Linked DNA regions of Ovis aries. The main gene of each other region encodes a partner of the protein of the gene in region 2 in a complex. Links are inferred from orthologs where the notes say so. Each region holds a gene or a part of one and is shown on either strand. Other genes may lie near its edges.

Region 1 (9,773 bases), on a different chromosome or scaffold from region 2:
GTCCAAGTTTTGCTGATAAGTCTGAATGAACAAACTACCCACAAGCAGCAACGTCCCCGTGACCCTCGCCTGTTCAACTGGGAACGTGCTTTCAAAGGACCCGAGTTTCTACTTCAAAACCGCTGTGTGTTTCTTTTGGGAGTGAACCTAGGCCACTCATTGTTCTGCCTTTCAAAGCATTCTTAACCACTCTCCAGAACCGAGGGCTTGGCTTACATTTCTTAGAAATTCCAAAGACAGACACTTGGAAACCTGGAGGAGACGGCCTGTGAGCACAGGGGGCCGGCGGTACCTGAGGTAGGTGGGGGGCTCGGTGCTGATGGACACGGCCTTGTACTTCTCGTCGTTGCCGTCCAGGATCTCCTCCACCTCGGAGGCTTTCAGCAGGGTCACGCTGGTGGCCAGGGTCGTGTATCCATGATCTGCAAGAGATGGGGCTGCGGTCAGCCTGCCCGACGCGGGCCTCTTCCAAAGGGGCGGCCTGGACCCTGGCTTTCTCCAGAAGCCCTGCTGGGCCGCCTGCTCGGGCTCCAGCCACAGGGCCTCTGGGGACAGGAGGGCTCCAGAGTGAGCCAGCCGGCGGGAAGAGGTCTGACACCGCTGCAGTCCACGACACGAAGCGAGGTGGAGATGGGATGAGGGATGAGAAACACTCTTCTTTTAAAACAAGAGCCCAGAGAGTTGGAAAGAGCCGCTGCACACGCAACAAGAGCTGGCCCTGGCGCCAGCGCCCTGGGAGCCCGAGCTCTCCGCAGTCCGACCACAGCTTGCCTGGGGAGCCGGGTGGAGGCGGGGGGTTAGGAGAAGGTGGCTCCCCAGGGAGCACCAGGCCTGGGGTCGCCAAGGCTCACCAGGGGCAAGCGCAGCTAGGGGCGCAGGGTTACTGACCGGCACTGCACCCGGCGCAGGAGGGCCCGGGAGGGGCTGAAAGGTCACAGCAGTGCGCGGACAAGAGGCTCCGGCTCCTGCGTTAAAAGAACGCGGTGGACAGGCCACGGCAGCGCCACGGACACACTCACACCTGACAGACTGCGGAGCGCGCGCACGCGCACGCGCACACACACACACACACACACGGGCGCGCGCACGCGGGGCGCGGGCCGGTTGTCCCAGGGCGCCCTGGTGCCCGGCCCGGAGGCGGCGCCCCGTGGCCCAGGGGCACACAGCATGGAGCAAACATGCACACGAGCCAGCGCTGGTGGACCGGCTGCCAGACCAGGTGCCACGGGATGGGCTGGGGGGTGGGGACGGGGAGGGGCGGGGAGCGAAGCGGTGACGGCCCGGAGGGGGGCGGGGCCAGGGCCGCCCCACCGCCCGGGCGCATGGAGGGTGAGGATGGCGCACGCCCGCGGACAGCACAGCATCACAGCAATCCTAAAACGTTTTCAGACCGGCGCGTCTTCACCGCGCCCGCGCCCCGCCCGGCCCTCCGACCGCCGGGCATGCCCTGACCCCGACCACCCTGACCGAGGACCCCCACCCGCACCGGGGAGCCCACCCCCACCCCGGGGACGCTCCGCCGCGCTAAGGTCAGGACTGCCGTGAAGACACGCCGGGGTGAAAACGTTTTATCTTCATGACATAAGCGAGTGGTTTTGAAACAGGTTTACAAACCCTCGTGAAGACGCACCCTTAGTGTTAGGTTTTGTTTTTTTACCATGTGACGAAGCAACTATTTTCTTCCTCTCTTCCACAGTGGCTAGTCGCCTCCAGAGCGAGGGGTATCTCTTGTACAGAGAACCTCGGAACATACGGAGGTAGTTTCCCACCTAGGGGTAAAGCGAGAAGGCTCATTACGAGGGCCGGGGCTCCTCGGGGAAGGGAAGGGCCCTGGCGCAGAGGCTCTGCCACCTTAGTGACACGCAGACCACCGCGGCCTGCAGGCGCCGGGCTCCGAAAGCAGGCAAAGCCCGATCTGCTGACATCGGGGGTTCCGCAGGAGCGGAGGTCTGGCCCGCACCTGGCCCAGAGCTCCCCGAGAAGCTCTGACCTTGCACTAAAGATCTCTGGCGCAGTCCAAAAATGTGAGGCCTCTCTTCCTTTTATCTTAAGACTCTGATATTTTTACGATGTAATAAACACCAAAAAGGGCTTTTAATTTTAGACAGATGTAGGATAATTTCCCCCGTGGCCCTTGCTGCTTTGTTTAGTAACAAAACTCAAACCAAAAATACCAAAGGAATTTTCCAAAGAGTTTCAAAAGCGCTTATCAGCAATCACTGGATTGGCTGCATACAGCATCACTGCCCCAAACAACAGCCTGCCTGTGCCAGATGCTCAAAGCACAACTTACTTGACAAAAACAAACCTAGTCCTAACGTTTTTACAAAGAAACTTCACTGCTTCACCAACTTTTCAGAAACAACCACTCGATCACGTGGCAAGGGACAGTCGCTGGACTGGGTGCTGGCTTCTTCTGTGAGCGGGCAACACTGCCCTCTTCTCAGCCTCCCTACTCCTCTTGACAGATGTTCATCAGCTGTAAAGTTCACCCTCGAAGGACCCACTTGTGCTATTTTCCCATGTACCTACCCCACTATAGTATTTTTCTTTTTTAGTTTCTCCATTTTTCATGAGTTTAGAGATTTACACAACCACGGCTGCTGAACAGCGTGAGAGAGCGGCCACAACGTCCCTCCTGCTCCTTGCTGCAGGGGCAGGCCCTTTCGAGTTACCTGGCTTGAGCGTGGTTACCATCTGGGGGTAAACATAGAGTTTCTAGGAGGTTTTTGACAAGACACTGACCCTAATGCCCCCAGTACCACCGTGCAGGTCCTGCAGGCTTCCCAGCCTCCTAGGCCCTTCCCGAGGTCCCTTCAGAACTCAGGGGACTCAGTCTGCCCCCTGGGTTTTCCCTGCACAAGCTTTTGCCCCCTCTGGACCTGGGTTTCCCAAATGGAAAACGAAGGTGTTGGTATGGAGGCCCCCTGGGCTCCCCTCGGCTGTGCCTCTGTGTGGTGATGACAGCTGCCCCTGGGGGGGGCAGGACTGGGGCAGCTGCAGACACCCTCCCAAGGCTGCTACCCCGAGTGGTGTGGGGCGCTGTAGGCACTGCTCTGCCTGGCGTGCCTCTTGGAAACCAGCGCCTGCTGTTTGCCCAGGGAAACCGCCCGGGGGCCAAGCACCCCTGCTGTCAGAAGAGCTGCTGGCTGTGAGTAGATGCCAGTCTAGCCCTGAACCCTGCCCAGGCCTCCTGAGGTCTGAACATTGTAAAGTCAGGCCCCGGACGGCAACTGCCTCTCCCTCCTGCCGTCTGGTCTCCATAAACTGCATCTCAGGACAAATCTTCTCACTCACCAAGACTGCAGTTGTCTTTCTCAGTCTGAGATGTGCTGCAGGGCAAGTTGCAGAAGCTGTCTAGCCTAAGCATCTCATCAGATGCCCGAGACAAGTGCCATGGACACCAGGCTGGAGCCAGAGCTCCTCACGCTCTGCCCACCTGACACCGGGCTCCACCCAGTAAACACAAGCTTGATTTTCAAAAGTACCACCGACTCAGAGCCAGTGCTAAACCAAGCGCTTTTCCTTCCTGCCCGTTAGATCCGGTGAAGGTTTCTTTAGTTAACCTGCCAGTCACCACATGCCGCATCCGTGCCCACAGGCTGGCGAAGACCCTTCTGAGCTGCGGCACGTGGCAGGCAGTGGCGCCTCTCTCCAGTACGGCCAGCTGTCAAGAGGAGCGTTTCTGTGATAATGTGAAAGTACGTTGCATCCGGCCCCGTGTTTCATAAAAACCGGTGAGGAAAGGAAACACAGAAAGTTCTGATGCTACTGACAACATGGGTCTCCTAACTCAATACAAGTCAGACAAGCCACAGGGAGTCACAGGGACTCCCGAAAGCCTCACTGAGTGTGACCATCATGAGGCTTAATTCATTCACAGCGTATTCCATCATGAAGAGGGAAAAAAAATGGTAAAAAAGAACAAAAGAGTGAAATGCGTAAAACTGAAAACTGCTGCCAGGAGAAGCAAGCGTCGGCGGCGTTTGTGACTGCTGTAACTCCCCAAGACCCGCACTCGCCTCTCTACAAAAGGGAGGCACTGCTGCTCGGCGCTTGCACACCTGAACTGCGGATCCGTAATTTTAAAATGTGTGTGTGGACACACACGCACACGCCGGAGACTGCCAAAGGCTGAGGGACACTGGAAGAACTTCGTATACTTGGTGCACACTGCTAACCCAGCCGGCTCACAGTGCTGCAAGGTCACTGTTTAGGTAAGGATGAAGGGGTTCCGCGCTCGTTCCCTCGCACTAACTCAGAGTTAGTCCAAGATAGCCGAAGTGCCAGGTGCCTCCCATTTGCTGATGGATCTAGCTCAGGGCTGGCTGGGCCCTAGCCATCCAAAATCAAGCATCGTTCTCCCAACCTGTCTTCTCACTGATAATGGAAGATCAGAACGCCCACCCGCCCAACTCCAAGTCAAAGAGCACCAAGCGGGTGAGCCCCCGACTAAGCTCGGTGTTTCGAATCAGCGGTTTCAGGATTCCAGCTGGGGCAACGAGGGAGAGGAGGGAGCGTGCGAGGGGTCCAACTCCTCGCCCCGTGTGCAGCAAGGGATAACCCAACACCCCGTTTCTGTACGTCCGGCTGGAGTTGTGGAACTCAGCGCGGACCCGGGGCCACCGCGACCCCCGCGGCCAGGGACACGCGTGAGCGTTCCCAGACTGCGGAGCGCGGGGCGGGGCCTGCTCGACCACGCCCCGATAGACCACGCTCTCGACCCGATCCGCCCACCGCGTCCCTGCGGGACACGGGTGGGCGTGCCCAGACGGCGGGGGCGGGGCTGCTCAGCCACGCCCCAACAGGCCACGCCCCGATGCGCCAGGCCGCGCACGCGCACGCAGGCCCTCCGCGATGAATGGAGACGCGCGTTCCCGGCGCGCAGACCCGCCCCGAGGCTCCCGCGGGAACCGGGCCGACCGGGAGGCCCGGAGGGCAAGGATCGGCTACCTCAGAGCCGATCATGTAGAACTCGCCGTCGTCTTCCAGCTGGAACTTGACGGGCTTCTGCCCGAAGGTCTTGCTCAGCGCCATCATCATCATTGCGGCGGCAGACGCGGGCGGCCACGGCCGGGCTGCGAGGATCGGGAGGGCCGAGGCGGGGCCGGGGGCGCTCCTAGCCCGGGGAAGCCGACGCGGGAGGTGAAGGGCGGGCCGGGCCGGGGGCGCTCGCGCCGCCGCTGGGCTTCTCTGCCGCCGCCGCCGCAGAAGACGAGCAGGCCGCCCTCAGTGCGCAGGCGCGGGCGTTGACGCTGACGCGCGCGTCGCCGCCGCCGTCGCCGCCCTGACAAAAGGGCCGAGCGCGCCCCCGCGGGCCGCTTAAAGGAGCCTCGGCCCGTTTCTCGGCCTTCCCGGCCGCCTCCCAAGTGGAGGTACCAGGGAAGGCCGCTCACGGGCAGAAATAGCAGCCGCCGCCCTGACTCGAGCGGCGCCCTTCCCCGTCTCACAGCCGGGGCTGGCGTGCTGCCCTGGTGAGGAGGCACGAGGCGAGGCCCGGAAGGCCGGGAGGAAGCCAGAGGCTCCCTTGCCTCAGTTTCCCCGCCCAGAGGACGCTGTGCGGCTGAGCACATGGGCGGCCCAGGGACCAGTATCCCAGCTCCGGGCCAGCCCCCCGGCCCCCGTTCCTGTGGCTCTGGGGATGGGGCGGGCATGGGCTGAGACTACCGGGCTTGCAGGATTCCTAGGCCCAGCCGGCGTCTGTTTTGCCCGCTGAGAGCTGGGGAGGAGCGAACGTCCCCGTCCTCTCCTTAACTCTGTGCCCTGTGCCTCCCCCTGCCCTGGGGCGCTGGCAGCCCAGCGGGCCGACACACAGGGAGGCACCCGTGTATCCGGTGGAGCACGGCAGTAGGTCAGAAACGGCCCACTGCTGATGGCTGCCCATGTCAGCACCTGATACCTGGCAGCTATGAGAGGCGCCGCTATGAGCATCCACGTAGGGGGGTGTGTGTGTGTGTAGCGTCTGTGTGTGTAGGGTGCGTGTGTGTGTGTGTATAGGGGCGTGTGTGTGTGTAGGGGCGTGTGTGTGTGTAGGGTGTGTGTGTGTGTGTGTTTGTGTGTGTGTGACTTGCTCCGTCATGTCTTTTTGCACCCTATGGGCTGTAGCCATGGGATTCCCCAAGCAAGAATACTAGAGCGGATTGTCATTCCCTTCTCCAGGGGGTCTTCCCCACCCAGAGACTGAACCTAGGTCTCCTGCATTGCCTGGTGGCTCAGACAGTAAAGAGTCTGCCTGCTCTGCAGGAGACCTGGGTTGGGAAGATCCCCTGGAGAAGGAAATGGCAACCTTCTCTAGTACTCTTGCCTGAAAAACCCCATGGACAGAGGAGCCTGGTAGGCTACAGTCTGTGGAGTCGCAAAGAGTCGGACACGACTGAGTGGCTTCACTCACTCCTGCATTGCAGGCGGATCCTGGGCTCTCTGAGGGTGGCAGGCAAGTAGACCCCAGAGAGTGAGGAGTCGGCCACGGTAACCTTGAGTTCGGTTCTGTGTCCTGACAGTGGCAGGATCGGAAAATGTGAGCAGCGCTTGGTGGACGATGGTCTGAGAGGCCGCTGGGGAAATGGGGAGCAGACTGAAGCCACTGTAGGCCTTCAAGCAGGACGAGATGGAGCAGGGGGGCCCCTAAACGCGACACCCGGCCCCCAGGACCAGAGGACTGTGCGGGTCCCCAGCCAAGCCTCCCAACTCTTGGTCCAGCTCCACCCCTATCCTGGCCTTGCACTCACAGAGACACCCCAGGCAGGCAGGTAGAAAATGACCGTGTTTAATGACAGTCGGTTTAAAAAAAACGAAAAACAAAACAGCTTTATACACACTATACACATTTACATGGCTTTGGAAGATCTGACCCGTGATAGGACTGAGGTATGCTGGGGCCCCCAGGGCGCAGCGTCTCTGTCAGGAAGCACCCCCACCAGCTGACCGGGCCTTTCGGCCAGGATCCTGGGGAACAGGTCTCCAGAACCACCGAACTGGAAGACAGCACCTACCCAGAGCCAACCCCTGTGGGAGGCAGGAGGCGCAGGATCCTGACACCCAGGTGCCAGCCCCCTGTGGGACCCCACAGCGAGGACAGTGAGCGCTCCAGCTCCCCAGCCCTGCTGAGGCCCAACCCTGAGGGGTGTGGACGGAGACCATAGGCAGCTGGGTTCCATGTGACCTGCACAGGCTGCGTGGAGCCGGCCCAAGACCACCCTCAGCCTCCCTGCCAGAGCCCCCCTGCCCAGTCTCAGACAGTCGCTGGCAGTGGCCACGACCCGCGTGGCCCTCCCTGCAGTCCTGGTGGCAGCACCCTGCCCTGCCCCCTCAGCAGCCATGGCTCCATGCCCTCCCTGGCACCTACAGCCACAGACACGGCCACGGTCTCCCGTGTGGAGGTGTCAGGGCCTGAGGACAGCAGGCGATGATCAGCGGAAACTGTTGGCAGCCTCAGTACAGCCGAAGAAGTCGGGGCCCACGAGACGGGGGAAGCCCTCCAGGGCTTTTACCTTCACGGGGTCAAACTTCCAGTAGAGGCGGCCACGCAGGAAATAGGCGAAGCCTGAGAAGACAGGAGGGTCAGGGCCTGGTAAGTGGACACAGGGGTGGGCGCAGGCCTTGGCCACTGCTGGGTTCCTTGAAACCCAAGGACCTCAGGTGGCCCTTAGGAAAGTGAAGTCGCTCCATCGTGTCTTACTCTTCGTGACCCCATGGACTGTAGCCTTCCAGGCTGCTCCGTCCATGGGATTTTTCAGGCAACAGTACTGGATGGCATTGCCATTTCCTTCTCCAGGGGATCTTCCCTACCCAGGGATCGAATCCAGGTCTCCTGCATTGCAGGCAGACGCTTTACCATCTGAGCCACCAGGGAAGCCCCAGCGTCTTCCTACCCTTGGGTGAGCCCTCCCACCTGCCCTCAGGATCTGGTCTGAGCTACCACCCAGCCTGACAGAAGCTGGAGCCTCTGACTGATTTCGCTAGCCACACCCAAGGGGCCCAGGCACGGGCCCCAGTCTCCATGCCACAAAGATGGAGCACAGGGGGTTAGCACAGTCCTTGGCAGGAGGAGGGGCGGAGAGGGAGGGGGCCGGGCAGAGGCCCGCCCCCTGCACACCTTCAGCATCCTGGAAGGCCGCGTCGATCTCCGAGGGCACCCCTCGCCAGTCAGTGGCCCGGCGCGGCACGGGGCTGTCCACACGGCGGGTGCTGGGCTGGAAGCGCCAGTAGTCCCCGCTTCGGAAGAAGTAGATCTTGGTCTTCTCGGAGCCCCACACCAGGGCGGCATGGATCGGGGACCCCTGGAGCCCCAGCTCAGAGAGGGGCGCAGGGCCCAGGACCGGCTTCTCGCCGTCGTACACCCAGTACTGAGCTCCTGTTGGAGACACGGGGTTGGGGGGCGTGTGCTGCAACAGGGCTGCCCAGCGGCCACACTCCGCCACCGACACCACCTCAGACCTTCCCAGCCTCAGTTTCCTTGTCCATAAAACACAAAAGGCCAGTAATAACGCCTGCTTGGCAACCCCACCCCCAAGAAGGACACTGGGCAATGCCAGCGGCGCTGGGAGGTACACGTGGGAAAGGTCGTTCTGAGCAGCAAAGAGGCCACCTGGGCGCCCACTCCCTGCACTTGGCTGCCCACCCTGGCGCCAGCCCTCAGGCAGCAGCCCCCACCCCCTGGCATGCTCCAGGCTCCCATCTCTGGCACACTGAGCTCACATCCCTCCCGACCTTCTCCAAGCTGTGCCCTCATGTGGGTCACCTCACCGCCTCTGAGCCCCAGAGCCTTGTGTCCAGGGGCAAGCGCCATACGTGCTCCATGGGGTGCAATACCTTCCATCCTACTCGAGCCTTGAGAACCACCTCCTCCAGGAAGCCTCCCAGCTGTGCCCAGAGGAGTGAGCCACACTCCTGCTCCCAGCCACACTCCGGGGCCCCCTCCGTCTGTCCATCTGCTCATCACGTCTGTCTGTCCCTTCCCTTGGCCATGACGTTCCTGGCTCCCAGCAGTCTCCCAAGTGTGACCTGGCCCCCACTCACCTTGGAAGAACCAGATGTGGCCCTGGGCGTCCTCGAAGGCTGCGTCCACAGGGCTGGGCAGCCCCTGCCAGTGCCGAGAGGCCAGTGCAGGGTAGCCAGGCTGCAGCCGGCCCCCGCGCAGCCGCCACACGAAGCCTGCCTTGAAGAAGAAGAGCTCGCCGCGGATGGTGGCGGCCGCGTCAAAGGAGACGTGGCAGGCATCCGGTGGGGCGTCCGGCTGGGGTGAGAGGGAAGGGTCAGGAGGAGCCCATGGTGGAGCCGCAGAGGCAGCCATGGGCAGGGGGAGCAGGGCCTCACCTCCAGCGGCGCGATCTCGTTGGTGTCCGCCCCAGTGCCGGGGCCCAGGTCTGGGGGCCTGGACGTGGGAGCTAGCCGAGGCCGGCCGTACAGCTGCTGGATGCCCCTGCGGTCGTCTGGGCTGAGGCTCAGTGGGTAGCGGAAGGTGTAGAAGGGGGACATCAGGGCCTTCGCAGCTGTCGTGTGCTGTAGCCCCAGCACGTGGCCAAACTCGTGGGCCGCCACCTGCAGGAGGTCTGTGCCTGGAAGAGGGAGGCAGCCCGGCAGCGCGTGAGCTCCCGCAGCGGGACGCCGGGCCCGGCTCTGGGGCCTCGGCGGGGCCCCTCCAGAAAGCGGGGCCCGAGCCCCTACCCTGGTTGTCCCCGATGGTCCAGGTCTCATCATAGTCGAAGTGGACATCCCCTTCTCGGTGGGTCTTGGGGAAGAAGGCGTGGGCCAGGATGCCCCCAGGTCCATCG
Region 2 (9,738 bases):
CTCTTAACGATGGGGCAGCTGGCCAGTCATAGCTCAGCAAATATATCAATTTAGTCCACAAATACTTCTTTACAAGAGTTAACATATCATATAGTATAACAGTGTACTGAGTGGGAAAGTGGGAGTGTTATAATGTATCTTATACAAATTTTAAGGTAATCAGGAACCAGCCTGTAAGTCTCATTACTTACAAACCTTACTGCTTTTAAATCAGCTAATCAGTTTTCTTTTAATGGTAAATAAGGCTTTTTTAAAAATTATGTTGTATTACATTCTATAAAATTAAAGTTAAAATAGCACTAATGAAATTCAGCACAAATATGAACATCCCAAAATCTTAGATATGTGAGCAGACCTCAGTATTCCTTTTGAGATTGCTTTATCTGAATACTTTATCTCACAAAACCCACTAAGTATATTGTAAAATGCCTTATTCCACTTTTTAAAAAGACCCTCCCATTACAATATACACCCGTTTTGTTCTCAATTACAAAAACATTTGCCACCCAATGTAAACCATTCCTAAAATCAAAAATGAAACTAACCGTGCTAAAGCCATGAGAAAATGTAATAGTATCCCATGGCCTATAGTTACATAGTAATCTAATGTTTTGGACAAACAACTGGTCCTTAGTATAACTGTCATAACAAATACAAAAGAATAGCAGCCTTCCAAAAAGAAAAAATACCAAAAACACATTCCACATGTTATACGGTATAGTACCTACAAGAAATCAGTGAATCTAGGTCATATGCCCGGCAGTTTTCCTCCCCCCTTAAAAACAAAAAAGCTATTCCTAAGGGTCATACTGAGGACATAAAGGATTCACTCTCATTCCAAGAAAACAAAATACTTAAAATGATTGGTACCATTATGAAGAAACACCGTAAAGTAACACCGACCTACATCTGCCTCTATCATCCTCGTTACTGGCTTAGAGAGATGTGAATTCTAAACTGTCCCTTTAAAAGGAAGCTGACAAAGCAAATCTTTTCAAAATTAATTACGTGGGTTTATTTACACAAAGTCTTCCTATGTTTTTACCTATCCAAATCAAAAAAATCAGAATCCCCAGTTTTCTATGAAGAATAGGAAAATGTATTATCATTAACTCTAAAACTCTACTAACTGAAGATTAGAAAGGAGTGGACTCCCAACGTCCTCAGCCCGGGATTCACATGATTATCTGTTAAAAATTCAGTACTGCATACATTCTGACAAGTCTCTCATCTAAAATAAGGTTATTATTAAAATACACCTTCCTAAAGCAAATGAGCTAAGTAAAAACAGATATTACAGCCACCATTATTCCTTTTTAACATATTTTAATGTTAAAAAAGTTTTAAAAATTCTAATGTCCATGAAAGAAAAACTATTTGGAAGAAGCCCAGCACAATTTGCATGTAATATAGTTTCCCTAAAACATTGTGTAAGCAGTTCAAATAAGGCTCACATAACCTAATCTAGCAAAACAATCAAAGGGGGGAAAAGATTTCTGAGGCATTTGCTTCCAAATCAGAAGCAAATATAAAATAATTTTTAAAATTTCACAAGAAGGTCCATTTCTTCCCTTTTAACTGTTGTCTGCAGAAATTATTATAGTTTCCCCACTTCATGTTTTCTTAAACATCACATCCAATTCTAACTGAAACTCCTCATCCACTAACTTCTAAAAACGATCAGAATTTTAAAGCACAACTTACCAGAAACATAGTTTTAATCTTGTTATAAAGCGAATTAAGTATTACTGAAATATACCACTGGCTATCAGAATCATGACATTTTTAATGTTACAAGTTTTAATTTTATATTAAACTACATGTGATGACATAATTCCAATTTTTTCATGGTTTAATCCATAAAGGGTTATTTTATAAAAGCTTTCCAAAATCCAGAAATTGGTAAAATTCTTGGTTTAATTTTTTTTCAATTGCCATATCCTCACCCTACAATTATAGCGAATGAGATATGTAATGGCCATGCTGAGACTGTCAAACAGCTGAATTTTCTAACTGCCCAATACTGGACACCAGTGTGATGTTTTTAGGTATTTAATCCTCTTATTAGTAACTGTGATTCATAATAATTTAAGCTTTAAATAATATTTCACCTTACATCTGCATGTAATAGAGCTCAGTTATTATTTGTGGCAAGAATTTTTGTGACTGTACTGCTCAGCACTTCTATTTACATCAGCAGTGCTAAATGCCCAATGGTGAGAGGGGAGCCAATCAGATGGCAGATTAGATGTCAACTCAGAGGCAGCTGTCTGGAGACTATTACAGCCAGTTTACCTCCACAATTCAAATTCCAAACCTTGCAAAGGAGATCAAGTCAGTCTTTAGGCTCAGCCTCCGAGCGAGAAACAGCAAGAGTGCAGGACTCTTCCTAATAACGCTGCAGGACTTGGGGGGGGACAGGAAATTAAAAATCCAAATAAATCTGATTCAAAAAGATCCATTTTCACTGGTCTGCTCCCTCCCTGGGTTCGCTGACTAAAAACGTACGCCTAACCCACGATCCAAATAAGTTCAGTTTAACCGGAATGTGTTCCTTTAACGCAGCCTATCCGTTGAAGGTGACTCCTTTCAAGCAGCCTGCAAGCCAAATAATGGATTTCCCCGGCTTATTCTTGGGAATGAATCGATATATTTTAGGGTCGTTTTCCTCCCCATCGTTCTAAGACGTGGGTACTCTTTTTGGCTACTAAACGCTCAAAACTCGAAGCCCGCGTCGAATATCGCCGAATGCCTGGGCACAACTACGAAACACACGCTCGGCTGCCACAAAGCTAACCTTTTTTTTTTTTTTTTTTCCTCCTGCCTTCACCTTGTGAGCTCTAAGAGGGAAAAACGCGGTGTGGCCTGAGGTAGGACAAAGTTCCTCATTCTTTCCTCAGTTCGAGCTCATGGTGGGCGCTACCCGAGAAGCGGGGGGCAGTTATTTCTCCTCAGACCCTACCGGCCCGGAGCGCCCATTTCTGTGGTAAAAATAAATAAATATATAAAATAAAGCTGCCCGAACGGTCCCCGGCGCCCACACGGCTTCCCGGTGGCGCGGTCCCGGCCGCGCGGCTCGGCGCCCGGGGCGGGGGTGTCGAGGCGGGCGCTCGGCGACCGGCCACCGCGGCGCCCGTCCCGGGCCTCGGCGAGGGACCCCCTTTCCGCCCCCCGGGGCCCCGGGCCGCGCACTCCGACCCTGCGCGCCGCCGGGCCTCGGAGCGAGGCAGCCGCGAGTTAAAATGGCTTTGGGCGCCTCGCCCCCCCACCTCCTCACCTCCGCCTCACACACACACACCACCACCACCCCCCCACCAGGGCCGAAGACGCAGAAAAAGTAACGCGGAAAGAAAAGAAACTACAGGGCTCGCAGCGCGCGGCGAGGCCGCCGCGGCGGAAGCAGGCCCGGCCGGCGCGGGGGTTACCTGGGATCTGCCCATGGTCGGGCCGGGGGTGCCGGGGCTCATCGCCGGGTGGCTCCTTTGTTGCGCGGCCGCCCAGGCCGGGCTGGCAGCGGCGTACTGGGCGCCCATGTCCTTGCCCAAGCCCATGCCCGCGGCCGCCTGCTGGCCGCCCGCCGCCGCCCCCGCCGCCGCTGCCGCCGCCTGGGACTGGGGCTGCGACGGCGGCGGCGGCGGCGGCGGCGCGCTGGGGCTGCTGTAGTCCGGGTAGCTGCCGCCGTAGCTCCTCATCATGGGGCTGGGCGAGGTGAGCAGCTGGTTGAGGGTCGGGGTGGCCCCCGACGGGTGCTGGTTCTGCCCGGCGAAGCGCTGGAAGCCCCCCGTCGCCGCCGCCGCCGCTGCCGCCGCCGCCGCGCCGGCGGCCGCCTTGCTGAGGCTCGCGGCCCCGCCGCCCCCGGGGCCCATCATCATGCCGCCGCCCTGCTGCCGGGGGGAGCTCAGCACCCCGTACCCCGAGGACGAGCCCCCATAGCCGCCGCCGCCGCCTCCTGCTGCTGCTGCTGCCGCCGCCGCCGCGGCCGCCGCCGCCACAGCTCCCGCTCCTCCTGCTCCTCCTCCTCCTCCTCCTCCTCCGCTGCCTCCTCCTCCTCCTCCTCCTCCTCCACCGCCGCCGCCGCCGCCGCCCGCGCTGGGCCGGCTGTAGCCCGGATAATGGTTGTACTGGCTGTTGGGGTACCCTTCGTGGGAGTTCTGCAGGGGGTCCATGCTGTTGGGGGCTCCGGCGGCAGCTGAGGCGGAGTGCATCAGCCCCATCCCGGGGCTTTGTTGTCCGCCATGTTGATCAAAGCAAGGCCCAGCGCGGCCACCGGGGCCGCCGCTAGCTGGGGCAGCGCTGCCATAGTAATTATTAAACTCCGAGACGGCGGCCGGGCCGCCTCCGCCGCCCCCGGGCACGGCGACCGGCGGCGGCGGCTGCTGCGCGCCCAGGCCCGGCTGCTCGAACCGGCCGCCTGCCGGTTCCCCCATCTTGGGCGGCGCGTCGTCCTCGTCGCCCGGCTTGCTCAGCAGCGGCTGGCCCGGGGGCTCGGCCTGGCTGCCCGCGGCGGCACCGTCCTTGGCGCCTCCATGTTGCGGCTGCTCCATGTCGGCACCGGGCTGAGGCGTGCCGCCGCCCGCGCCGCCGAGGCTGTTGTTGTTGGAAATGGGATGTTGGTGCTGCTGCTGCTGCTGCTGTGGTTGCTGCTGCTGCTGCTGGAACTGGTTTAGCTGCTGCTGTAGTGCGTGGTGGTGGAGGTGGTGGAGGTGGTGGGCATGGTGGTGGTGGTGGTGTTGGAGGTGGTGGGCATGGTGGTGGTGATGGTGGTGGTGCTGCTGCTGGTGGGGCGCTGCGGCGGGGGCTTCGCCAACGGTTTTCAGTTTGTGGTTGGGGAGCAGCCCCGTCTCCATGGCCGAGCCCGGGCCCGACGAGGAGGAAGAGGAGGACGCCGCCGCCGCCGCGGCGGAGGAGGAGGAGGAGGAGGACAGCGCGGCGGCGCTTCCACCCTCCGCCTCGGAGCCGCCGCTCTTGGCGCTGTTAGTGCTGGCGGCGACCGCGGCCGCGGCGCTCGCGTTATGGGCCATGTTCAGTTCGTGACGGGGGTGCAGGGAGTGGTGGTGCACATTACTCAGGCCGCTGCCGTCGCCGCCCCCCAGCATGGGTCCCGGTGCCGCCGCGCCGCGCGCCCCCGCCTCCAGGCCCCGGGCCCCGGGCGCCGGCCGCGGCCCGGGGGGCGCCCGCCGCTCGCCGCTGCCCGCCCGCGCTGCTGCTGCTGCTCGCGCGGCCATGATCACCGCGGCGTGGCGAGGCCGGGCGGGGGGGGTGCGGGGGGAGACAATAAAACCCACTTTTTAGTCTGCGGCCCCTCCTGTGCGCATCCACACGCCCCGACGGGAATCGAGCGAGCCCCCTCCTTACTCCCCTCCCTCCACGGGCCCCGCCGGAGCCGAACCGGGGGTCTACGCCTTACGGTCTGGGCCTGTTCCCGCTGTGTGATTTCAGGGTGAAAGTTTTTAGTGCAGGTTTAAATGAAACTTTTTCTCTTTTTCCTCTCTACCCCGGATATGGGTAAAAATACACGACTGACTTGAGCCGCTCGGGCCCAGCATAGCTTGAGAGGGAGCCGGGCGAGCCCGAGCAACTATTATCCACTTCTCTCTGCTCGGGCGCACTCGCAAAACGCGGACTGGACTCAGCCCTGGGCCGCCGCGGCCCGCGGGGCCCTGCGCCCTCCTGCCCGCCCGGCCCGGGTGCAGCCTCGCGGGCACTGGCGGCCCCGGACCGGGGAGCTCGGGTCCGGCCGCGCCGCTGGCGTCCGGAGCGAGGCGGGCGTGGGGCGACCGGAGGCTGCACTTTCCCCTCGTGCCTCCGTCGCCTTGCCAACCGGGCGTTCGCGTGTTTGTTTTCACGTCTAAAAGGCACCATACAAAGGTGGAAAACGAGTCTGACGAGCAGACAAAAGAGGGAGAGAAGGGCCGGGGAACAAAGTTGTCTGTCGGCCTCAAAGGTTACGAGGAGCCGACGGAGAAAGAAAATATTTGGGCAATCTGTGCAAAAGCACTGCCTCTCCCAAGAGTTATGTAATTTTTCAGCTTGTTAGCCTCTCTCCCTTGATTTCGGGCCATCAGTGTGATTCCCACAACTTCTTCAAACTGCAAAATTAGGAAAGAGTTTTAACTGAAGGTTAGCCTCATTCCAGACGCTCTGTGCCCTGTACACAGCAGGTACTCAATACATGCTTATTACTGACTGCACCTGCCCCAAAGAAATGCTGATATAATTTTTTTTTTTAAGGCAGTGTGTGTGTGTGCCTGCACGGTTAGTCCCTCGGTTCTGAGACTCTGCGACCCCATGGACTATAGCCCACCAGGCTCCTCTGTCCATGGGATTCTCCAGGCAAGGACACTGGAGTAGGGAGCCATTCCCTTCTCCAGAGGATTTTTCCGACTCGGGGATTGAACTGGGGTCTCCTGCATTGCAGGCAGATTCTTTACCATCTGAGCCACCAGGGAAGCCCACGTAGGCTTTATTAATGAAAACACAAAAGTATTCCCAAAGGAACATTTTCTCACAATGCACTTGCCTGTCTTCTCTCTGAAGGAAAGCCTTCAAATGTGTAGAGTGGTATGCTATGCTCCCAACAACTTGCACGTGGAAATTTAACTATTGGTGCCATAATAGAAAGAGCTAAGGTTTATCTCATGTCTTCATAAATCTGTATGACACCTTTCATCCTATTTTAGAGGTTAGGTGCACAGTTAACCCTCTTGATATGAGTTCATTTCTAAGTAATGTGAAACAAAACTAAAAGATATATGTTATATTTCATAAACATAAGATCAGTGATGATGTAAATCTATCGAATCTAATCCTACAGCAAAAATGTTTCACACTTTTTCTTCAAATACTATCCATTGTTTTATCACTTTTTGATGTTTTAAATGTTTTTATTATTGTGACTCTGTCACCTAGTAACATCTTGAATATCTTCCAAAGCAGGACTTCTTAACCTAAACAATAGCTCAGTTGTACTAGTGTGGACTCAGTTTTCATGGAGAGAAAGCATCTGAAACCAGAGCTTTCAAGAAGTCCTGCTAGCTGAAATGATATATATGATTTTGGTAGAATGTAGCTTTCTAAAATCATCTAATTCTTCAGCTTTCCATAAAGGTTATTTTAATTTATTTCAACTGCAGTGGTTATTTTTGTTTGCTTGACCAAGTGTAAATATGTTACTTGACTAAATAGGAAAGGATATATGTGGAAAACTGGTGACTGATGGTGGAGGAGGGGAATCAGGTGCATACCCAAGAGTCATTATAGAATGTAGAAACAACAAATTGCAAGTCTATGCAAACAACTGGAAAACAGGAGTTATATTATCACGTGTAAGTGAATAAGAGAAATGTAAGGTGAATTCATGTCAAATCATTCATCAGTTTTTGCCAAGAGAATACTACATCTTTGTTAGTGTGCCTCTTTGACATTTTCTCCTGGATTTTCTCCCTTTATATAGTCAAATACATACTAATTACATGATGATACCACATAAGTTGAATTTTTTGAGTTTTCATATGCAAATACAAATATATGTCTGTTTTGCATATGTGTTTATACATATATTCTAAACTCAATTACATATTTATGCTTTTAGACATTTATAGTCCAACTATGTACACATATAGTCATAAAAATACATTTTTTCCAACTGATAAAATATATCAACATCAGTTCTTAGAAGTACAGCCATATTTTGTGGCTTATTTTCACAACTAATCCTAAAAAGGGAAAATGAGTCACCAAGTTCACCTCTGGCCCTTTTCTTAACACTTTTTTTCTATATAGAAAAATCATGAAACTTGAAAAAAAAACCAGGTATATAGGGCGAAATCTCTTTTAATTGCTTTTGCTTCAGCAAGTCAACTAGAAGATTGGAACCAAGAGGCTATGAAAACGAGGCCCCCAGCACAATGAAGTCAGTCTGCTATAAAAGGCGACACTTGCCAGCTTCTCCTCCCCAATGGCAGCTGCCACACCCTAAAGCAGACAGAAGGCTCTGCAGTCTGCAAGGAAGCACAGCACAAAGCCCGCAGGACTTGGTTTTGTCTCCTAAACCACAGAGAATGCTAAAATACCTCTTCAAAAGCATCTTGCTGAAGGTAGTAGTGGGCTCCTCTTTATTCAACCTAGGCTTCTCAAACACATCATCTTGAGAAAACAAAAGAAAAGCCTCTTAACAGTTTCATTTAAAAATCCAGGACTTAATAAAATCGCAGTTATCGCGTCTGTTAGAAAGTCATGTAATAGGTTCACATTTCTCAAAAGCAAAGTCATGAAATAGTTTCACATTTCCCAAAAGCACGATTCGAACTGTAGATCATAGTTTCTGTTGTGTTAGTTGCCTCGATTATCCTATATGGAGATTCTACAGTAGTTTTCAAATGGAAAATAAAGTACTACAAATGACCGCATTCATTTTTCCTAATGAATTCTTTATTTTTACACCTCTTGCCTAAATTTCAAACCATAATGACAACTTTAATAAGTTACTCTAGCCACGAAGGAGCCGAGGAGGTGAAGGCCCAAAAGCTGCAGAGTGGGCTTACCCTGCCTGCAGCTGACCTGCCACCCATCGAATGCCCCACACCCTCACCGTTAGCCAGAGGATTACCCAGCACTTTATTAAACATTACTTTATGGTTACAAAAATGGGGTTGAGTTTGGTGGGGTTTTTTAATGTTATGAAAAACTGATATTCCAATACAATTCCCTCTGAATAAGTTTTAGGGCACTGAATAAAAGGCTCTTCAAACCTGCCCACTTAAAGAGGATTGAGCCAGATGGTAGTTTAAGAATGCCACAGTTCTGTTCTCCTTACCTCATCACACTGTTTGCTTTAAGATTAGTCCCCTTTTACTGTTCTGGTTATTTATTCAGTAACTGAAACTATCACGATTCACTAGCCATCATATTTCTCAATGTTCTTTACATAATTTGGAACCAATTTAGACTAAAGCCCTGTCAAAAGTTTTACAAATAAGAACTATTAAAGAATAAGGCTTTGGACACTTGCTTTCCTTTTAGATTTATGAGAAATGCTATGAATGGAGCTAATGGGATTTCCCTACTTATCTTGGTCAGGGACTTTAAAAAGCACTAAACAATTGTCCTTTTCACATCTCTGATTTAGATGTTAGCCGTGAATAAATCAGTAAATGCAAGATTACGGGATACAGCATTTGACCTGAAGCAACTATACAAATGTAGTAGTGGCCCATAAGTTTAGGATGCAAAACAACTAGGATCTGAAAACAAAAGTCTAGGCAAGAAATAATTTGAAGAAATGTGGGGACTCTTGACTAACGAGCACTACTATATTTACTAAGAATATTATAGTGGGTAAATAAACTGGATGGGGAGAGGGATAAACTACACTTTTTTTTTTTTTTCAACAAACTTGTCTAGAATCTAGCTTGTGACATTCCCTGAGAATAAAAAGAAAAATACTAGCTTCCTTCTGTCCTCAACAGGGGAGATAAACTGTTACCTAAAACATACTTATTGTTCAGTTGCTAAGTCGTATGCCTCTCTGCGACCTCAGGGACTGCAGCATGCCAGGCTCCTCTGTCTACTTTCTCACAGAGTTTGGTCAAATTCATGTTCATTGAGTCCTCGATGCTATCTAACCATCTCCCAGGTGGTGCAGTGGTAAGGAATCCACCTGCCAGTACAGTAGACATGGGTTCAATCCCTGGGTCAGGAAGATCCCCTGGAGAAGGAAATAGCAACCCACTCCAGTAT
Region 3 (9,660 bases), on a different chromosome or scaffold from region 2:
ACAGCCAATCAGGGCGGCGGGGCGGGCCCGCCCGGGCCATGCTGGGAGTGGTAGTTCCCCGCCTGCGGCAGGCGGGACCCCAGCGGGAAGCCGGTCAGAGATGGGGCTCGAGGCACGCATAGCCACTCGCGCACGCTCACCCATGCACACCTCGGAGTCTCGCACATGGGTCTACACTCACGCATGCACACCTGGGCTCGCACACACCCACACACGGCGACTTACACACACATTCACACATATACTCACAGCCTCCCACGCAGACTCACGCACACTCCCTCTCCCACACCTTCGCATAGACTCGCATACATTTGCACTCACACAAACACTTGAGTGCCAGGAGACTTAGAGACAACGTACAGATGCCCACGCAAACGTCCCGCCAACGCATGGCTCCCTGCCGCCGCCTCTCCCCCGAGTCCCTCCTAGCTCCAGAGCACCCTCTCGGTCCCCGGCCTCTGGTCACCGTCGGGGCTGTCTCTCTCACAGGGACCACGCCCGATTCAGCCCCTTCCCCGGCCTGACAGCAGCCGTGCCAGTTACGTGTGTGCTGTAGCCACACTTCATGGGTTCAAATCCTGACTCTACCACTTGGTGGCCATGTAACCCTGGGCAAATAACTTAATCTTTCTGGGAATCAGTTTCCTCATCTGTAAAATAAGGATGATACCTCATTGGATTATTGTGAGCATTAAATGAGTAAGTATTGGGGTGTGCATGTGTTAAGTCGCTTCAGTCGTATCTGACTCTTTATGACCCCGTGGACTGTAGCCCGCCAGGCTCCTCTGTCTGTGGGATTCTCCAGGCAAGAATACTGGAGTGGGTTGCCATACCCTCCTCTAGGGGATCTTCCCAATCCAGGGACTCTTTATGTCTCCTGCATTGGCAGGAGGGTTCTTACTACTAGCACCACCTGGGAAGCCCTTAAATATTGGTAAATTGCTTCAAAAGGCATCTGATGGGGATTTCACTGTTGGTCCAGTAGTCGGAGAAGGCAATGGCACCCCACTCCAGTACTCTTGCCTGGAAAATCTCATGGACAGAGGAGCCTGGAGGGCTGCAGTCCATGGGGTCGTTGAGAGTCTGGCACGACTGAGCGACTTCACTTTCCGTTTTCATTTTCATTCATTGGAGAAGGAAATGCAACCCACTCCTGTGTTCTTGCCTGGAGAATCCCAGGGACAGGGGAGCCTGGTGGGCTGCCATCTATAGGGTCGCACAGAGTCGGACACGACTGAAGCGACTTAGCAGCAGCAGCAGCAGCCAGTAGTTGAGACTCCGCACTCCCACTGCAGAGGGCACAGGTTGGTTGGGGAACAAAGATCCCTTATGCCATGCAGTTTAGCAAACAAACAAACAAAACAAAAGGTACCTGGCAGGTAGTAGGTGTTCAATAAATTCATTCATTCCAAGAAGAGGACCTGATATGTACTAAGATGTAAAATGGTGATAGCTAACCATTATTAGAAAGAATAACGCTTGACATATGTGTGTGAGTCACTCAGTCGTGTCCGACTGTTTGCGACCCATGAACTGTAACCCACTAGGCTTCTCTGTCCATGGGATTCTCCAGGCAAGAATACTGGAGTGGGTTGCCATTTCTTCCTCCAGGGGATCTTCCCCACCCAGGGATCAAACCTGAGTCTCCTGGATTGCAGGCAGATTCTTTACCCTCTGAGCAGATTTACTTTACCAGGGAAGCTTGGCATATAATAGATGCTTACAAAATATTTGTTACGAATAAATATACTGAGTAGCCACCAAGTACAGGCACAGTTCTTTAACAGAGACTCACCCGTCTGATCCTCATAATGACCCACCAGGGTGATATTACCATTACCCCCATTTTCCCAGAGGAAGTAGAGTCGCATGCCGTCAGCCCCTGGTGTTTGCTTGAAGGTGAGACTAAGATAAGTATTCACTTGCCCAGATGTCTGTATCACGTGGGTCACCCCCTTCTTTCTGCCACTCCACCCTAAGGGATGCCCAGAGAGGAAGCTGACCTTTGGAGTCACAGCACTTGCCAAATCCCACTCACCCACACCAAACCCACACCCCCATCCAAAGTTCCTGTTCAGGTTTGAGCCCTTGCATGGATAAAAAGGCCCACAAATGTCCTTGTCTACCAGGGAGCTCTCCGGCAGACGGAAGAGGCCTCAAAGCCCTCACCTCTTTTGTCTCTTGATGCCCCCACCTACCTCCCTGATGAGAGAGGCCCCTCCAGGTCTTCCACACCCATGGTCACTTCTAAACACACACACACACACACTTCCCTGGTGATCCAGTGGTTTAGACTCCACACTCCCCAGTGCAGGGGTCATAAGTTCAATCCCTGGTCAGGAAACTAAGATCCTCCAGGCAGAAAGGCATGACCCCAAAACAAAAAACAAAATACACACACACACACACACACACACACACACACACACACACACACACACACACCTCTAGTCTTAGACGCCTTCCACAGGCTCTCCCCCATCTCTCTCAGGTAAGGCCTTGATCTCCCTCTCCTCAAACCCCCAAAGCAGGGAGTGGGTCTCTGCTTCACATCTGGCCTAGAGCAGATGGCAAGGGGGTGAGGCACTTCACTCTGCGTCACAGATCACACAGTGCCACAGGGACACTGGCACCTCACAGTCACTCTGGCCTCCAGGTCCCCTACAGTGGCTACCCCAATCTCATCCACAGTGAGCCCTGCCCCCCCCCAACCCACCAGCTCAGCTCCAAGAGCCCTTGCCACCTTCCTCTGTCACCTCCCACCAGCCTCCAATACATCCTTACACTTGCTCCCCCACACCTCTAGCCTCAGGTACCTGGCTCACCCCCAGAACCTTGGCATCAGTTTTGCTCAGCTTGGAGCCTGAGTATAGAACACTCCATCAGCTCCCTGGAGGCCCTTGTCCACCAGTGCAATTTGACCCACAGCTGACACCTAGAGAAGGGTCTCTCTCCCCTTCCTTACCCCTAGTCACCCTCTCAGATCCCTCAGCCGCAGTCAAACTCCCATGTCCAAACAGTCCTGTCCCCATCCACCCATGCCCTGTGTGGAAACTGGACCACAAGTGAAATCAACATTGATACTAGACAGTAAAGAATCTGCCTCCAATGCAAGAGACCCGGGTTTGATCCCTGGGTCGAGAGGATCCCCTGGAGAAGGAAATGACAACCCACTCCAGTATCTTTGCCAGAAGAATTCCATGGACAGAGGAGCCTTACGGGCTCCAGTCCATGGGGTCGCAAAGAGTCAAGACACAACTGACACTCTCACTACATTTAGTCAGAGTCAGGCTCAGTACCAAGTGCTTTACAAACATCACAGCAGCAACCATGAGATAATAAGAACTGTAATGATGCCCCAGTTCACAGATGGTAACGCTGAGGCTCAAGGTGGGGAGGTTCCAATACAGGCAGTCAGAACCCTCCAGAGCCCATTCCTAAGGGGACTGGATTCTCTCAGGAGCCAACCCCTTCCCTCCCATCACCTCCTGTAGATCCCTCAGAAGGTGAGTGCAGAAAGGGCTACTGGCACTCCCACCCCCAAGCTTACTCAGGTCTTCAGGCCCCCGCAATGGCTGCCCCACACCTACTCCAAGAGGTCAAAGTGAGGAGGTCTGGATACCTATAGATCCACCAACCTGCACACGAGCCCAGTGCCAGCCAGTTTGAGGGTGTCCCTGATAGGGGTAACACGTCTGTGTTGAAGAATTAGAGCGAGAGGGAGGCAGAAGTGTCACCGTTACACACTGTCTCACGCCTACCCCAACCCCACACACGCCCTCCAAGCCGGCTTGGCTCTCCGCAAAGCCACACGTGTAGGCGCGAGCTTGTAAGGCCCGGCCCCCTCCATGGCCCAACTCCCCCCACCATCAGAAACCCGAAGCTACTGGGGGCCTTAGGTCCGGCCACCCTAGGCACAGCCTTTCCGGAGGGCGGGAGCGGGGGGCGCCCCGAGCCCCTCCCCCACCCCAACCCCCAGCACCCGTAGCTCAAGGTCAAGGTGGCGGAGGCGAGGGGCTGGGGGGAGGGTGGGGGAGGTCGCCCCGGCCCCTTTGTGCGGCGCCGCGGGCGTTCGCCCTCCGCCTCCTCCCCGCCAGGCCGGGGAGCGGGGGAGGGGAGGGCCGCGCGCGCCAGCCGGGGAGGGAGAGCCGGAGCGGCCGCGCGCCTGTCACTCCCAGCCCGCTGTCACCGTTGGGGAAGGGGGCGGGGAGCACTGGGACCCAGGAGTTCGGGATCCCGAGGAAGGAGCGAGAGAGACGGAAAGAGAGGGAAGAAGTGGAGAGAGCGAGGGCTGGCCAGGAGAGGAGACGGCTGGGAGACAGCGTAGGTTTGAACCCAGGCGTCCAGGATGCCAGCCGCGGGGTCCGGGAGGAAGCGAAGCTCGGAGGAGGCACGCGGACAGGGAGAAACGGAGGGAATCCCCGGAGACTGAGGGCGCTCCCAGCACCCTCTCCCGAGGCATCCGGTCCCCAAGGAGACAGGAGATGCTCTCATTACATGTGTACGGGCAGGGAGAGGCAGAGAGCCCACGGTCTAAACTGACCGGAGCGTCGGGGCTTTAGGTCCTGAAGACCCGGGAAGGAAAAAAAAGGGGGGAGACAGCAGGGATCGAATCGGGGACCCCGACGTCTCAGCTCCCACCCTGCGGCCGCGCAGACCGAGGTTCCGGGAGAAAGAGAGGGGAAAGAGAGAAAGATGCTTTTGAGGAGGTAGAGACCTGGGAGACTAGGGTCCGGACTTAGGCATTCATACTCCCAGCCCCAGGCAGGGGCAGACCCGGCGCCCCGAGAGACTCGGAGGAGGAGAAGGAAGCCCCTACCCCCACTCTGGGTGGGGAAACGGCCTCCGCCACCCCCAGCCCGCGCCACATTCCTTCACTGACAGCGACAAAGAGGCGCCCCCGCGACCCTGGAGTGGCTCCTGCCCCCAGCCCCAGGAGGGAGACAGGGGGTGGCGGCACGCCCCGGGGGGACAGGGGGACAAGCTGGGGGGCCCATTCAACTACCATCCGCCCACTGCGTCCCCCTCCCCAGCGAGGGCGGGGGCAGGGTTCGGGTTGGGGGCGGATGGAGGGACGTGGACGGCGGGGACACTCACGACTTGAGCGGGTTCTGAATGGCGGTGGCCATGGCCCGCTCGGCTGGGCCGCCTCCGGCCCGGGGCGCCGCTGCCGCTGCGCGCGGGCCCAGCCCGGCCTGCGCCGCCCGCTCTGCCGCCCAGCGCGCTACGATTTCATTCATTCTTGGGGCTGCAGCGCGAGCGAAGCGGGGCGGGCCGGGGGCGGGGCTCGGCCAATCCCCGCACCTCCCGGCGCACGACGGGACGTGGAGTCTAGGGGCGCTCGGCGGCGCCCGAGGGCGCCCCTGTCCGGACTACACGTCCCAGGGGGCGTCGGGAAAACCGTGTGCCCATTGGCTACTGAGGATACAGGGCGGGACTGGACTCGCCCCAGAGCATCCTTTCCCTTCCCTGGAGTGCTCCCTTCCCAGCTCTGGCTCTCCATCCTTCAAGAACCACGGGCGCGCGGGAATGGGTGGCCGCTGATTTCTGGATCTCCCCTGGGTGTGTGGATGATCCCAGAGTCTGTCGTATATTCTTGTCTTTGCCTACTTCTCTGGTGTCTCTTCTTTTGTAAGCCAGTCTGTAAACAAGCACAGGGGTTAATCCATGCCTTTGTTCATTTATTAAGTGACAGGCACTCTTCTAGGCACTGGGGAAACAACATGAACAACAGATAGAATTGCTGCCCTCAAGGAGGTGAGCTGTGAGTGGGGAAAAACAGATGATAAACAAGCAAACAAGCTGTTAATTTTAGAGAGTGGAAAGTGCTATAAAGAAAGTGGCTTCTCTGAGGAGGTGACATTTGAGCTGAAACCTGAGAAGCTGTCACCATGCAATACACAGAAGCAGGAAAAGCTTGACAAGTTCAAAGATTATTGTGGAAAGCTAGTGTAAAAGAGTCGAGTGAGTGAGGAGGGAGACAAGGTTAGCCAGAGAGCAAGGAACCAGATTATGTAGGGCCTTGTAGGCCATTATAAAGAAAATGGATTTTTGTTCCAAGTGCAATCAATCATCCTTGACTCTTCTTTTTTCACACACACCTCAAGTCCATTATCAAATCCTGTTATCTCTACATTCACAAATAGATCCAGAATCTACTCACCCTTCTCCCTTCACAGCCTCCGTCCTAGGACTCCCTCCTCCCATCATCTTCCCCCTGGACAGTCCCTGACTATTCTCTCCAGGGTAGCCAGAGTGAACTGCGTAAAACAGCTGGCATCACCACGCTGTCTGGCTCAAAACTTCCAATGACTTCTTTCACACTTGGAATGAAGTTCTAAGTCCTCACTATGCTCTCAGGGCCCTACTTAAGCAGATCCCCAACCTCCATCTCATTTCCTCGGTTTATTTAGGCTGTGCTGGGTCTTAGTTGCAGCTGCCAGGATCTTCGTTGTGTGGCATGCAAACTCTTAGTTGCAGTGTGCGTGCTGGATCTACTTCCCAGCCAGGATGGAGCCTGGCCCCCTTACATTAGGAGCACAGAGTCTTACAATCTGGACCACCAGGGAAATCTCCCCACTACATTTCTGATCTCATCTCCCTTCTTTTCCTTGACTAGCTTTGCTGACTTATTAGAAAAGACCCTGATGCTGGGAAAGATCGAAGGCGAGAGGAGAAGGGGACAACATGGTTGGATGGTTGGATGGCATCACCTACTCTATGGACATGAGTTTGAGTAAGCTCCAGGAGTTGGTGATGGAAGGGGAAGCCTGGTGTTCTGCAGTCCATGGGCTTACAAAGAGTTGGACATGACTGAGCAACTGAACTAACTTTGCTCCAGTCGCACTGGCCTCCTCCTTATTCCTGGAACACTCCGGGCCCACTTCAGCCACAGGACCTTTGCATCTGCTGTTCTCACTGCCTAGAATGTTCCTCCCCCAGGCATCTTCATGGTTCCAACAATGACTTTATTCAGGTTTCTAAATTAATGTCACTCCCTCAGAGACAACCTCAGCTAAAACAGCATCCCTGAGAAATTCTATGTCCTCTTGAAAGCTTTTTTTTTTTCCCCCCGGGACTTCCCTGGTGGTCCAGTGGCTAAAATTCCACTCTCCCAGTGTAGGGAGTCTGGGTTCAATCCCTGGTCAGGGAACTAGATCCTGTATGCCAGTCTTTGCCATATGGAAAAGACCTTGGTGCTGGGAAAGACTGAGGGCAGGAGGAGAAGGGGACGATGGAGGATGAGATGTTTGGATGGCATTACCAACTCGATGGGATGAGTTTCAGCAAACTCCGGGAGATGGCGAAGGACAGGGAAGCCTGGCATGCTGCAGTCCAGGGGGTCACAAAGAGTCGGACACGACTTAGTGACTGAACAACAAAATGCTGATCCTGTGTTGCCATAACTAAGATCTGGTGTAGCCACATAGATTCATATTTTTAAAAAAAAAAAAGCTTTCTTTTTCTCCCAACACTTACAGTACTCCATCCTCATACTATAGACCTATTTACTTACTTGATTTATTGCCAACTCCATTCCTTTGAATACCAGCTCTATGAGGCAGAGGTTGTTATTTAATCCACTGCTCTCTCCCCAGTACCTAAAACAGGGCCTGAAAAATAGCAGGTGCTCAACAATTATTTGTTGAATAAATAAATGAATCAATTAGTCATTATGCTCCATGTCTCTCCCCACTGTCTGGCTCTGTGGAGCACAACCAGCAAGGAGAGAGAGAGTCATGTGGGCCCCAGGCTGTGCCCTCCCACACACATAGACACTTAGACAATCTCAAGGGACCAGGGTGGTGGCCAGGGTAGCAGTGGGGGCCGTTGTTGAATTAAGACAACCTTCCCAGCAGAGGGTCTGGAGCTAAAGCTTCAAGGCAAAAAGAAAGGAGAAGTTCGTTTCTACAGAATCATGCCCTGTGTGGGCATGCAGTGATGTGTTTGCACTACTTATTTACGTATTGGCTGCGCTGAATCTTCGTTGCTGTGCACGGGTTTGTCTTTTGTTGTGGCGAGTGAGGGCTACTGTCTGGTTTCAGAACATGGGCTCTAGAGCACAGGCTTGCTAGTTGTGGCACACGGGGTTCATTGTTCCATGGCTTGTGGGATCTTCCCGGACTGGGGATCGAACCCGTGTCCCCTGCATTGGCAGGCAGATTCTCAACCACTGGACCACCAGGGAAGGCCCAGCAATGAAATGTCTGATGGCTCTGCCCTAGGCTTTGCCTTAAGTTTGCAGTCCTGTCGGGTAACAGACCCCTCACTATACAATGACAGCCAAGGGTGGGGGAAGCCCAGGCAGAGGGGTCAGGAGATACACGGGCTAGGGGAGCCCAGAGGAGGTTCCTGACCAGTCTGGGGGTCAGGGAGGGCTTCTTGGAGGAGGTTTCAGGGAAATCTTTTAAATCTTGACCCTCTGATCTCTCCAGACACAAGGCAAGTTCCTGTCCTGACCTCTTGTGTCCGTGATGCCTGATCTTCCTGTCACTCGAATCTTGGTAACAAGCAATTTAATCACTTCTTTAAGCACTTCTCCCAACCTAGAACCCAAAGATTTGACCACCAGAGGGCACTGTGGCTCCAGTTTTTGTCTGGGCAGTCTGTTCAGGACTCCTCAGATCCAGGAGGGACATTGTGGGGGGCAGTGGGACCAACCAGTGGACACATTGGTCCCCCCACTCTGAGCCTCAGACACTGCCCAGGACTTGGTTATCAAGGTCAGAGCCCCTCCCTACAAAAACTCCTGTGGAATCAATGTGTGTGTGCGTGATAAGTCACTTCAGTCGTGGCCGACTCTGCAACGCTATGGACCATAGCCGGCCAGGCTCCTCTGTTCATGGGATTCTCCAGGCAAGAATACTTCAGTGGGCCGCCGTGCCCTCCTCCAGGGGGTCTTCCTGACCCAGGGATCGAATCCACATCTCTTGTCTCCTGCATTGGCATGCAGGTTCTTTACCACAAGCGCCACCTGGGAATCAATAGGAGTCTCTCTGTCCCAGACCCCTGGGAGCCCAGCTTGGGCCTCTGAGGGAGCAACTTGCTTAGCCTCCCTGATCCCTCTCTTTCCCACTATTCTTCAGAGGGTACAGCCCTCCCCTAAGCTGCCCTTGGGATGTTCAGACATGACCCTTGGAAGTCTCCTGCCCAGATGGGGATACTGAGGTATACAGGAGGTGTGGCTGGTGGCGGGGAGGGTGTCATACAACACCAGGACAAAAACAATAGCAGTTAATAATAATAACTACAATACAGGACTTCCCTGGTGGCAAAATGGATAAGGATCCGTCCACCAATGCTGGGGACACGGGCTCCATCCCCGGTCCAGGAAGATTCCACACGCCACGGAGCAGCTCCGCTAATGAGAACGACAACTTACTGAAGCCCACGGGCCCAGGGCCCACGCTCTGCAACAGAAGAAACCACCGCAACGAGAGTCCCTCACACTGCAGCTAGAGAGAGCCCACGGCAACAGTGGAGATCCAGGGCACCCAATGAACAACTGAGAAGCAATACCCAAGACCCCGTTAGTTAGCTCCTCCTGTGTATCAAGACCTGTCCCGAGCCTTTTACAGGTCTAATATTGCTATCACACAGACCACACTTTGGAAGCAGGACTCTCCACCTCAGAGTCAGACGAGACAATCTGGGCTCAGA

Evidence for each region.
Region 1: ARID1B (region 2) and SMARCB1 share a complex: the UniProt entries of both Homo sapiens proteins name them as parts of the neuron-specific chromatin remodeling complex. The link is inferred for Ovis aries from reciprocal best matches to the Homo sapiens genes ARID1B and SMARCB1.
Region 3: ARID1B (region 2) and DPF1 share a complex: the UniProt entries of both Homo sapiens proteins name them as parts of the neuron-specific chromatin remodeling complex. The link is inferred for Ovis aries from reciprocal best matches to the Homo sapiens genes ARID1B and DPF1.

What each region holds. Positions count from the first base shown.
Region 1 is NC_056070.1:71,284,230-71,294,002, reverse strand, and holds the start of SMARCB1 (SWI/SNF-related matrix-associated actin-dependent regulator of chromatin subfamily B member 1), read right to left. Parts: upstream 5,235-9,773; 5' UTR 5,047-5,234; coding exon 4,954-5,046; intron 1,770-4,953; coding exon 1,631-1,769; intron 423-1,630; coding exon 293-422; intron 1-292. Other genes in the region: MMP11 (stromelysin-3), read right to left, coding at 7,410-7,543, 8,096-8,353, 9,019-9,235, 9,316-9,557, 9,667-9,773.
Region 2 is NC_056061.1:81,158,114-81,167,851, reverse strand, and holds the start of ARID1B (AT-rich interactive domain-containing protein 1B), read right to left. Parts: upstream 5,241-9,738; 5' UTR 5,226-5,240; coding exon 3,426-5,225; intron 1-3,425. UniProt on the Homo sapiens protein: Involved in transcriptional activation and repression of select genes by chromatin remodeling (alteration of DNA-nucleosome topology).
Region 3 is NC_056067.1:47,414,275-47,423,934, forward strand, and holds the start of DPF1 (zinc finger protein neuro-d4), read right to left. Parts: upstream 5,235-9,660; 5' UTR 5,130-5,234; coding exon 5,098-5,129; intron 1-5,097. UniProt on the Homo sapiens protein: May have an important role in developing neurons by participating in regulation of cell survival, possibly as a neurospecific transcription factor. Belongs to the neuron-specific chromatin remodeling complex (nBAF complex).